Linked DNA regions of Schizosaccharomyces pombe. The gene in region 2 interacts genetically with the main gene of each other region. Each region holds a gene or a part of one and is shown on either strand. Other genes may lie near its edges.

What was found.
Region 1: mutations in ccr4 (region 2) and cyp4 together harm fitness less than expected from each alone (positive genetic interaction), as found in Schizosaccharomyces pombe (2 studies listed by BioGRID).
Region 3: mutations in ccr4 (region 2) and SPOM_SPBC1685.04 together harm fitness less than expected from each alone (positive genetic interaction), as found in Schizosaccharomyces pombe (2 studies listed by BioGRID).

The regions. Positions count from the first base shown.
Region 1 is NC_003423.3:3,683,900-3,687,306, forward strand, and holds cyp4 (cyclophilin family peptidyl-prolyl cis-trans isomerase Cyp4), read left to right. Parts: upstream 1-1,965; 5' UTR 1,966-2,001; coding exon 2,002-2,464; exon of another isoform or gene 2,465-2,557; coding exon 2,558-2,700; 3' UTR 2,701-2,892; downstream 2,893-3,407. Other genes in the region: rnf10 (ubiquitin-protein ligase E3), read left to right, coding at 1-183; autophagy-associated protein Atg8, read right to left, coding at 754-1,029, 1,196-1,251, 1,333-1,366; SPOM_SPBP8B7.26 (uncharacterized protein), read left to right, coding at 3,225-3,309, 3,364-3,407. UniProt on the Schizosaccharomyces pombe protein: PPIases accelerate the folding of proteins. It catalyzes the cis-trans isomerization of proline imidic peptide bonds in oligopeptides.
Region 2 is NC_003421.2:636,913-641,457, forward strand, and holds ccr4 (CCR4-Not complex subunit Ccr4), read right to left. Parts: upstream 2,712-4,545; 5' UTR 2,622-2,711; coding exon 549-2,621; 3' UTR 523-548; downstream 1-522. Other genes in the region: taf5 (transcription initiation factor TFIID subunit 5), read right to left, coding at 3,233-3,329, 3,380-3,644, 3,694-3,862, 3,919-4,545. UniProt on the Schizosaccharomyces pombe protein: Acts as a catalytic component of the CCR4-NOT core complex, which in the nucleus seems to be a general transcription factor, and in the cytoplasm the major mRNA deadenylase involved in mRNA turnover.
Region 3 is NC_003423.3:500,756-504,708, forward strand, and holds SPOM_SPBC1685.04 (uncharacterized protein), read left to right. Parts: upstream 1-1,908; 5' UTR 1,909-2,117; coding exon 2,118-3,095; 3' UTR 3,096-3,438; downstream 3,439-3,953. Other genes in the region: vma9 (V-type ATPase V0 subunit e), read left to right, coding at 550-641, 930-980, 1,047-1,107.

The DNA.
Region 1 (3,407 bases), on a different chromosome or scaffold from region 2:
AAGACTGTTTGGGGAACAAGAGCTCTTGCCAATATTCAAAATGACACCGATGATCAAGACGATCTTGATGGTTGGAAAGTTGACTGGGACAAAGTTGCTCAATTATCTGCACCTTCCAAAAACTCAAAAAACAAAAAAAAGAAGAAATTAGTTTTATTATCAACAGGTGCCGCCCATCGATAAAGATGGAGCATTCTCAGTGATGAAATGCTACTGAAATTTTTGAAATGCAGGAGTGGGCTTTATTTTGAAATATAGTTATAACACTTGTTGCTTGAATTATGAAAGTTTACGATTGACCAATTTTTTGGGGCATGTGAATAGTATTCGCTATTATGACAACCAGTTAATGTAAAAAAGGATAGAATCAGCTGATGATATATATCTACTTATTATTTATCAACATTTTAATATTATTAGAAAATCAAAATCAATTTTTTTAATTGATGGTTTTTATTAATTAACAAGGTAAAATAACTTTGTTGTCAAAGCAAACTAGTCATAAGCGTTCATCACATCTATTGTAAGACAAATCTGAAACATCCTTAAAATCGTGGTGGCTAACCTGAGAATGATATGTATAAGACGCGCGTAAAATAATCATAATGCAAAAGCAAAGAAACTTGAAAGCTAAAAAGCTAGAAATGCAGAGTAAAAAAAACATAAAGAATCATTCAACCATTGTCCACAAACAATTTTGCTGATCACAATTAAAAGAAGGCGGGGCCATCTTAAAACAGGCAAATTGTTGATCTAAAAAGGAAACACTGTTCCAAATGTATTTTCTCCTGAATACGTGATATACAAAAAGCCGTCCTCACTTTTATGCTCTTCGTATATCGTTGACATCAAGGCCGCTGTCGGGGGCAAGATTTCATCAATGAAAATAAAGATGGCCTTCTCAGGAGAAAGTTTTATCCGTTTGCGAATAACATATACAAATTGACCAACTGTAAGGTCAGATGGAACGAGATATTTCTTTTTATCTATTGCAGCAATATCAGATTTATCAACTTTCTCGCAAATAACCTGTTAAGTTAGCAGTTAAGTTTAAAACGTAATTTGTATTTTTGAAAGAAAAAGGTCAGACTTGTAACAATGGATTCACTTTTGATGACAAAAACAATGGGTGTTGTTCAATTCACCACTATTTTGCTCTGAAACCTGTTCTCTTTGACCACCAGACTCTACTTACAGGTATTCGATCGGGATATTTTTCCCGGATTCTTTGAGACTCTGTTTTTCGTTTCTCTGATTATTAATTAGCCTACTAGTTCCAGGTATTCTACAATGCTGTCCAAAAAACAACTTCTATAAGTTTTTGACACATACCAAAAGAAAAGTCGTCCTTGAATTGAGAACGCATGAGAACTCTCAAACTTCTTGCTTGAAGTAGTAACTCCTCTCTTCAATTGCTTCAAAATTCGGTGTTCTTTGTAAACGGTGCGTGAGTTATGTGGTATACGGTCTTGGATAAATAAGCGTACCCTTGGGTAACGTATACAGAGATATGAAGCAATCTTATGATACTATGATAAGTTACCTTATTTCGTAATAAATAAATACTTTACGAATCTTAAGCAGTACACAATCAAAAGGAATTTTTACTACTTCTTTATAGTATGATAGCCATAATTGGTATATACTCAATCCTTGGTACAACAAAAGTCACAACTCTTTTAGGAAGAAAAGCAAGAATGGAAATAAAGACGTTGTGTAAATAAATAATAGCACGCTTAACACGTAAATACCTTCCAAAAAAGGTTAGGAAATAGAATTTTGCAAATAATTACTATTTCTATCTTTCATTAAATAATCAAACCATTAGAAAAATAGTAGTGTTTGATGTAAACAAATAAGCGCTTCTTGAATTATTTGCTTAACATTGTGCTAAAAGTTGCTACAGCAACCAAAATCTAGCGAGTCTTGCTATTAAACCCCACCATAACTATTTATTTATCCTTTACCACACAACGAAGCTTTTAGTTTGTGAAAACAAAAATGAAGTTGTTCTATTTCTCTTTACTTTTTACTCTTTTCTTTGGGCTTATCTCTGCCAACCGTGGCCCCAAAGTTACAGACACAGTGTATTTCGACTTGCAACAAGGTGATGAGTTCCTTGGAAGAGTTACCATTGGATTGTTTGGTAAAACTGTTCCCAAAACAGCCGAAAATTTCCGCGCATTAGCCACCGGAGAAAAGGGATTTGGATATGAAGGATCTATTTTCCATCGCGTTATTCCCAATTTCATGATTCAAGGTGGTGATATTACGAAGGGTGATGGTACTGGTGGAAAATCAATTTATGGCAGCCGTTTTCCTGATGAAAACTTTAAGCTTTCTCACCAACGTCCCGGTTTGCTTAGCATGGCTAACGCTGGACCCGATTCCAATGGATCTCAGTTTTTCATTACTACAGTTAAAACACCTTGGTTAGATGGACACCATGTTGTTTTTGGTGAAGGTAAGAATTCATATTGTAGTTGTATATGTTTTATAAAAGTGACTATTTGTTTTCTTTTTCCTTTTTTTTGTTTGCTAATACTAATTTTATCAGTCCTTTCTGGTTACGATATTGTCAAGAAAATTTCCAAAGCTGAGACTGACAACCGTGATAAGCCTCTTGAAGATGTAAAAATTATCAAATCTGGGCAGTTGTCTCAAGAAAATGTTGAAGATGACGGAACAGATGAATTGTAATCCCTACTTTCTATTTATGAAAGTCATCAACATCTAGTGTTTATAAGATTTACTTGAAAAGCAATGATTTTACATTCTGTTAACATAAACGTTTATCATTGGAAGGATCACTTCTTGTGGTAGTTTGTTTGCATTTTCTGACAGCCATAGTTGTATAACTAATATACGCATAAAGAATGCGATTTTAACAAGTTTTCAATTGAATGAATATAGAACTCTACGTATATTATCCAATTTAGCAAGCGTAATAGCAATGCTGCAATTCTGATAGTAAGTATTGACAACAAACGCGAAGCTTATTAGCTGCTTACTATTTTGTTATGTTTTATCAAAAAGAACTCAAAGACATTATTTTTTCCTATCAGCTGGCTGATATTACTAGCACGTTGTGTAGTTGTTTACCCTATGGGCTCTTAGAAAAGCGGACTTAAGGAATTTCGAGAGTCGGAAGCTGTCCACCGCAAACATTTGGGTAAAATCGGTTTTTGCGTCAATTGTGAGAAATCAATTTCAAACTAATCGTAATGTTTGACTCAACAAAAAAATCACTGCATTCGATGTCGGATTCTGCGAACCGCTTCCAGAATAAGATTACATCGAAATTACCAGGTAAGCATATTTCCTTTGCTTTTTGAGACATTACTAACAAAATGGGATTTATAGGTGAACATGGCGAAGATGCTATGTATGATATTAGATCCGTTCAT
Region 2 (4,545 bases):
ATGATTAAAATTTCAGCACTTTTGGCTTGAGTCTAGGATAGCATAGTCTTGCTTATCAATATTATTTCGTTTACTGATGTTATATTTCTCTAGTATTACGCTCGTTGTAATTTGTTGGTTTTTTAAAATAGATAAATATTTTATGAATTTTTTGTGAAGTTATGTTGAGCAAAATAAGGATATCTTCAACACAATCGATTTTTAGAGATGGTTGAATGTTGATGAAATGGCGAAGCTCATTTTTATTATGAAAATAAAAAAATCAACGTTTTAATGCAAACCATCAGTACGATGTGTGGCGGTTCACCCCTTGTTAATGCTAATTTCCAATAAAAGTAAAACGAATAACTACGTAAACAAAAACGAAACCTCAATGATTTACAATTTATCTATTCAAATTATTACGACAAGGAAAATTACACTGCTTTGATATCTATGTAAACTTAACCAAATACCTGGTACTTGCGAAATGCAGAATCATACATCAAATCCATCTACTTGCTACTAAGTATCACTCTAAAATCTACAAACACGACAAAAACTAACAATCATTTTTTATCATTGTTAAACTTTGATGAAGGTAAGGGTGTCTTCTCCTGTTTCACTTTAAACTCGGCCAGCAAGCAAATATGATCACTAGGGAAGTGTGCGTTAGGGAAACCAACAACGCCGGAAAGATAATCTTTATCCACTCCTTTCAACAAACCGGTTACCTCCAAGCTATTGCCGGTGTACCAAATGTGATCAATGGCACCCTTAAAGCCAGGTGTATAGTTAGTGAAGGAGAGAGCTTCAGATTCACCATATGCAGATTTCAAATTAAATGCATGAGAACGTCCATTAACAGTGTATTCTCCGTAATCATTATTCATAAAATCTTCATGATTTTGGCTAATGCTACCAGATGATAAAAAGTCATAAACACCACTGCCTTGGACGGAATTAAAATCTCCACAAATTAAGATGGGGATCTTTAAATACTCGGGATAGGTAGGTCTTTCATCCTTTAACTGGTCAGAAGGAATCTTGGAAGGCATATTACGGAATTTTGTTGCAACCTGTGCAATCTCATCCATGAGCATTGCAACTTGTATAACCTTGACATCCCTAAACTGAGGATCCCAATGAATATGACAATTTGCAACGATCAATCGCGATCCATTTTCCTTATTCTCAAGAAGAGTAATCACACTAATGTTATCTTTAGTCATAACACGGTTGTACATGTTAGACGTTAGTTTAATGTCTTGCCTACGAAGAGATGGTGCTTGATTATATTCTATCACCATCTTTTCGTGCATGACATATTTAGATGTTTTGAAAAATGTAGCACAACCATCGACGATGCGACGTTCAACCTCATTCATAGTTCGTACGCGACTTTTCGGGAAGTGGACACCTTTATAACCTTTCAAACTCATTTGTGGAGCAAAAAAAGTATCATAGTTCTCAACATCAACTTCTTGCAAACAAATGATATCAGCATTATAACCACCTAATTCTTGCATGATTAAATCTTTGCGATACGACCAAGAGAGTGCCCATGAAGGAGTATAGCCATACAATGTGGATGTAGCATAACGTTCACAAAGCACATTATAACTCATAATAGTAAACTTGAGATTCTTAGATGTTGTAGAGGGCTTGTTAGAATCAGCAGCCGTTAAATCTCTAACAGAGGTTGAAACATTGTCATTAACATCATCATCATCATCGGAAACAAGTTTTTCCCATCCACGCTCAGGAGGAGGAGGGCCAACAGGGCAACCATCGCGCAAAGCAGCAATTAAACCTGCAGTACCACTTTCCATGATTTGATTCTTGTAAACGTCTTGAAGAGGATTACCTTCAATACCAAGAATTTTCAATTGGAAAAGGGTACCGAGTTCGGCAGGTATTACACTAATCATATTATCAAACAATAGGACTTCTCTAAGCTCAGTAAGTAAACCAAGCTCTGGTGGAATAGTTTTAATGCTGTTTCCAGAGGCATCCAAAATAACCAAATTCTTCAGTTTGCCAATTTCAGGTGGTAATCGGGTAAGATTATTATGGTTTATGTATAATTCAGTCAAAAAAGAGAATTTAAATAAATCAGTGCTCACATTTCTCAAACCAATACCACCAAGGTCCAAACAAGTCCAATCCCGTCTCTCTTTCTTAGAGTCAGATTTCGACTTTTGGTCATCAACCGCAACAGAAGAAGTGGTTGTTTTTGACGTACTGTTTAAGGTAGTACCACTGGAAGTGTTTAATGTTGTTGAGGTCGTCAATGTTGTAGTAGTGGAGCTAGTATTGTACTTTCCCCCTAACGAGGATAAGCCAGCAGCATTAGGGCCTCCGGTAAAAGCTCCAGTCCGAGCATTGTAATTCATCGAAAACCCAGGTCCTCCACTTCGTGCTAAAGCCGCAGCATTATGAGCTCGTTGGTGTGGTGAACTGAAGGACCTGGACTGAGTTGCAAGTGCAATTTGCTGTTTCCAATGTTCAGAAATATTACTATTTTCTAAAGCTGGCGAATTCTGTACAGATAATATTGCTGCATGTTGATGGTCTGGCGTCAACAGCCCCGGGTGCGCTCCTGGATAAATTGTACCTTGCGTATACCTAGGATTAAACATAGACGGTATCTCGCAAAATATCAAAGTCGAGATGAATTCTAATTTACAACATTCACTATATATACAATAAAAGTGAGGTTGTTGGTGAACGGCAAGAGTCGAACCCCGTGATAGCTTATAGGTGGGATACGAAAGCTCACCACCAAGATTTGAGACGAAAACTCAGTGTCCTGTTAATCGTTTTTTAGGTATATAATTGCATATGAATGCTTTCAATTAATTCATATTATTAATTTTTTTTCTAAATAATATAATTTAGGGTCCAAACATGAAATTATTTTAGCTTATGTTTAGCGCTGTTATGGTCTATGTAAATATTGGAGCTACTGAAAAATTTAATATATAATGTATCATCAGAAGTCCTTTATGAAGTTTATAATATTAAAAGCTTTTCCGGAACATCAAATATGAATTATTCAGCCTAATTTCGATTCCGATACATGGATGTCTCAAAGTTGTTAAAAGGCAGTTAGTTGTTGACTCATTATCGTAAAGTAAGATAATGTTTAATATTTAAATTAAATTTTTTATAATCTTTTTTTATATAATGCCAAATTTCTTAAAGTATGGACGGGAAGAAACATATTGAAGATCAAAAAAGGTTTATTTATCTAACTAACGCTTATTGCTAAGCAAAGGTTACGACGCGTAAAGGAGACATTAAATATAGGGGTTTGCTTCGTATAAAGAGCTACCATTTGATCCGGACTGTTTGAGAAGGTTAGTAAATATATCGATTCCATTACATTTTCTCATACCTTGTAGACCAATTGACTTCATTAAATGTGGATGTTTTAGCAGAGAAAGGTGTAACAACACTTCCCGTTAGAGAAGAAGAAACAGGATTGTTGTAATTAGTTTTGAAAACGTCCCAAGCTCTCACAGTACAATCTGACCCTCCGCTAACGAGGACCGTGGATTCGCGAGAAAATGACAAAGAGTATATGTTGCCTCTGTGACCTCGCATTGTCTTTATACGCCTTCCTGTTCCTATGTCCCAAAGGTGAATTAGACCTTCACTGTCTTTAATCAAATTAGTAAAATCATTAGTAATAACAAATGTATAACATACCAGCACTTGCCATAGTATGACCATCTGGGGCAATCGCAACAGCAGTTACCGGTTGGGTATGTCCATTAAAAACACGAACAGAATGTCCTCTATGTACATCCCAAAGCCTGCATGTTTTATCGCTTGATCCAGTTAGCACATAAGCGGAGTTTGGATGAAAGGTAACGCACTAAATACAAGTCAGTCATAAGGAAACACATTTCTTAAAAAAGATAATAATCATACGTCTACATCACTTAAATGCCCAGCAAAAACTCTAAGTGGGTATATATGATCACAGCTCCAAAGTTGTGCAGTCTGGTCATGAGAAGCAGTAGCGAAGTAATGACCAAACGGACCAAAGGCAACATCCCAAACCGGGCCAGTATGTCCCTTGTAAGCTACCAAAGCAGTTTTTGTGTCAACAGACCACAGCCGGGCGCTAGCATCTTCGGAACAAGATAGTAAATATTTATTATCGGGAGAAAATGTGGTGCCGTAAACAGGACCAGAATGACTCAGTAAACGTACTGAGCCATCTGAATCCTCTACAGAAGTTGACTTAGGTAATGATTTTTTGTCAGCCTTTATTGACCATAGCCGTATATAACTTTCTTGAAAACCACAGGCGATCATTGTGGAGTCAGGAGAAAATTCAGCACAGTTCATGTTGTTATTGGTGTGATGGAATGTGTACATACAAACACTAGGAAGGGAGGCTCTAGGTCCAAGATGTAATCTTTTACTCCAATCTTTCACAGCCTCAACTTCTGAAAGAATATCAACACCTTTATGAGGAGGAAGAGGGATATAATCTCTAGACGGAGCATCTTCAGCATTAGGTTCATGCAGCTTTCTAAATTCTTTTAATAG
Region 3 (3,953 bases), on a different chromosome or scaffold from region 2:
ATGTGGATGTAATTATTGGATGTGTTAGTTTACTCTCTGCATAAGTGCTCGGTGGTTTTATAAACTAGTGAGAAGAATGATTTCCGAGTACTACTTGAAGTTAAGAAAATAATTAATACAATCTCTTTTGAAACTAACCAGTCCATAATAGTATTCAAAGAATCTGGAAAGTACAGAATTTTTGGGAGCCTGACACTGATGCGTTATAGTAAACACGGTAATGTAAATTTGTTAAATATTTAGTTTAACGTAATGGATTGAGGGTTACCATAAATAGAATTCATAAGAAAAAATGGAGGAAGGGTGTCTTTATGATGTCCGCTAGCATTAAAGAGCATTTTTTTATTCAAGGATCGTATTCATATAACTGGAAGGCTATGTTAAGCATTTTTTTAATGCCTTTGTATGATTATTGTTACCTGATTTATGTTTACGTTATCTATGCGTGGTGTCACTAATTTGCAGTATATGTTCATGTGAGACGCACATTCGATAATTTACCATTAACGTGCAAGTTACATTTATTGAAAGTAGGTAATTTGCATTCTAATGGGTGGTCTCGTTGTTTTACTTGTCGGCCTTTTGACGGCCTTAATGAGTGTAGTTTCTTACTATGTCTCGCCCAAGGGAAATAATACTAGGTAAGAAGTTTGCTACTGATTGGAGTGAATCATCTATATATCGAGGTATAGCAATTATGTTCCCATTTAAAGTCTTGTGTTATGATCAGTAGCTTGTTTTTACTTCGTTTCATTTTCGTTTAGAGATATGGAAAAGTATATGTGATTGTCTTTCTTGCAACCAATCAAGGTAGCGCTGTTTAGGCCTTGTCTTCAGCTGCACATGGACAATCTGGAATTGGGATCAGTTGCTTGTATTATATTTTCATACTCCTTCCTTTAACAAAAGTTTTATTAACTCTCAATTAGTACTTGGCAGATGTCATTAATTCTTACTTTTTCTTGTTGCTATTTATTATGGTTAGTGCATTTGTGGTGTTCTTATGCATCCATATTGTTTTTCTTTTTTACTAACATCGTTCTTAGGGCAATTACTTATTTAGCACAGTTGCATCCATTAGAGGCTCCATCTCGAGTTCTTGAGTAATGAAGTTTAGTATAATCATAGTGATTTTTAATGTTTGTACATTCTTCCTCTTTTATTTTACTTATCGTTTAGACTGCAAGCTTTCCAATTAGAATCTACTTTTGAACCTTTTCCTCTTCCTATTTTTTGATACTATTCGTTTCTGATCGTCGGGCTCAACTTTCTAGTCTCTAAAATCCTATTGGTGTTTGTCGATTATTATTACAAATCAAACACGTTTGAGTATTTCTTATTTTTATAATCCATATCTTTAAACGTTTCTTATTTTAATATATATATGGAGTCAGTTAAGTCATGGCTGGAACCTGGCGTTATTTAAAGGTCGGTTCACGTGGATTTCAACATTGCATTTAATCTTTGCGAAAGGATATACCTTCATTATTTCTTTTCTTTGATTTTACTAGATTTATTGGTCTCCCCGTCTTTTGGTTGTCGCTTTTTCTTTTACTCGGATGTGTGTATGAAAGGCGACGTATATTTACGTTATCAAAAGCCTTGCTACAAATATACTGAATCATATAGAAATACAATAAAAAATTGAAATAATAGACACAACAGGATATTCAAAAGTTTTTTTGGTGCCAAAAACTCTAAGATGTTGTAAGTTTAGTTTAATATTTGGACTGAAGTTCATGATAGTAGTGGCGCTCCTAATACGCAATTTTAGTTGACTAAAAAAAATATTTGAGATAGAGAAAGTCTGAATTGTTATTAAAGGTCTACTGGCTTCATAAACACAAGTTCGCGACTATTCAACATTGTTCCACTATAGCACATAGACATTTGCACACACTGATAGTTAAGAAATACATTTTACAGTGTGATTTTGAACGGATTGGTTTCTTGAAAAGATAGGAAGACTGAAAAAATAAAGATTCGTATATAAAAAAAGCGAAAAACTTACACTAGTGATGTTGAATGCGATATAATTTTCTGTTATGAAGAAAAAAGGGTTGAACTTACCAAATTTACGCATTTACTAGATTTTTCGTGTATTATACCTTTTTAAAATGAAACAAGAATATATTCCGCTAGACGAATTCCCAAACAAGTCTAATGAAGGGATGCTGAATGATGAAGGTACCTCTTCTTCTGGCTTATCGACAAGAACGCGTAGCTTAGAGCTTTTTGACAATATGGAAGAAAGTGGCTCCTTTCCAAAAGTGGAAAGGAAAATACAATCGCTTTTGGATGAGCTGGCTGAAGTGTTGTTTCAATCTAAACAGCCCAACGACTTGACCAGGATTCGAAAAGCCATCGCTGAGCAGTTGCAGTTATGGTGTCAAGCTTGTCAAGAAAACGCTGATTTATATAGGAGCCAGCAAAGGAAATTGAAGAGCCGTTGGGACTCGCAGACAGACATTTTATCCCAAATTGAATCGACCAAAGCAAGTCTGGCAGAGGTGCACAAAGCGGAAGAAATATCGAATCTAAAGACAAGCATTACACATTTAGATGAGGAAATTCAAATTTTGCAGGAAAAGTTGGCGATTGTAACGAACCAACGAAACACCCTTGTAAAACGACTCCAGACTTATGATAATCTAGAAAAGAAAAAGGCACTCAGTATGGAAGATCGCCTTTTAACTCTGCAGGAGCAGTATGATGCACATGCTAATGTATCTTCCCTTGAAAAACGGATGGAAGTATTGAAGAAAAGAGAAGATCTTTTGCGACTAATGGTCGGGCAAGCACTTCCAGGAATGCAATTCTTCCAACGTTTGATCCATCAAATCCAAGCTGTCGAAACAAAACTAATCTCAATACTGGGGCCTACTTCTTTATCAGAAGCTGCTTTGCCTCCATTAACTGACGTTCAGCGCACTAGTGTATTATCACTCTTGACCTCGACTCTTCACTCTTTGGAGTCGGCGAGACAGATTGCTGACTCCAATACATGGAAGCCAATCATTGTTTGTTTAGAGCTCGAAATTGTATATTTTGAGAATATGCTTACTGCGATAACCTCGACTCCCGTTTCTTCCTAATAATTTAATTTTCATTCCGTATACTATCAATACAACCTTCTAATATTAAAATATGGTCATTCAATGGCACAATGCATTCCTTGGCGTGTTGACCGACAGCCTTACTACTTTTACCCTGCACGGCTTCAAGATACCTGTTAATTGTGGAGAAATATATATTTCATACATGATTTTACCTCCAGATTTTCAGCCTCATCTAGCACCACATCGTTAAAATCGTATATAATATTTATTTCAGCTGTATTTTCGGCATGATATTTATTTAATAACACCAACTTTGATCATCTTTGATTTGTCTTCTCAAACTCTCTTCTACACAACAAATGACAAAATGTTAAAGTAATGCGAGTCGAGTTCATTAGTGATTCAATTCAAATATGCTATTGAATGCCTATTTCCATACTTAAACTGTCAATCTCCTACCCAAATCAAACACTGTCATAATAAACATCCCTGAATCTAAAGCTACCTTAATAATCTTTGTTTTGTCTTGTTCAACCATCAACCTACTACAAACGAAACAGTTTTCAAAAAGTAACACCATTTTAGTTTTCAAACAATTCTACGCTAATACCACGTACATTCACTTTCGGTTCACATAACCGATTCTGTCAAACATCCTCAGAATGTCGTTTTCCATTTCGAACCCATTCTTTCAGTTTTCCATTTCCATTCAATACGACACAGTCGTATGAAGATGGATTCTAGCTTATTTGCAAAATGTCACGGAACCAAGAAATCCGATTTTGAACAAACGACATTGCGGCTCCTTGTTCGTCGCAATCCTCCGTTTGAGTGAAATTCATCGAAATCACTTCTAAAGCTACGCTGTCTTATTTTTGCCGCACTCGGACTTTG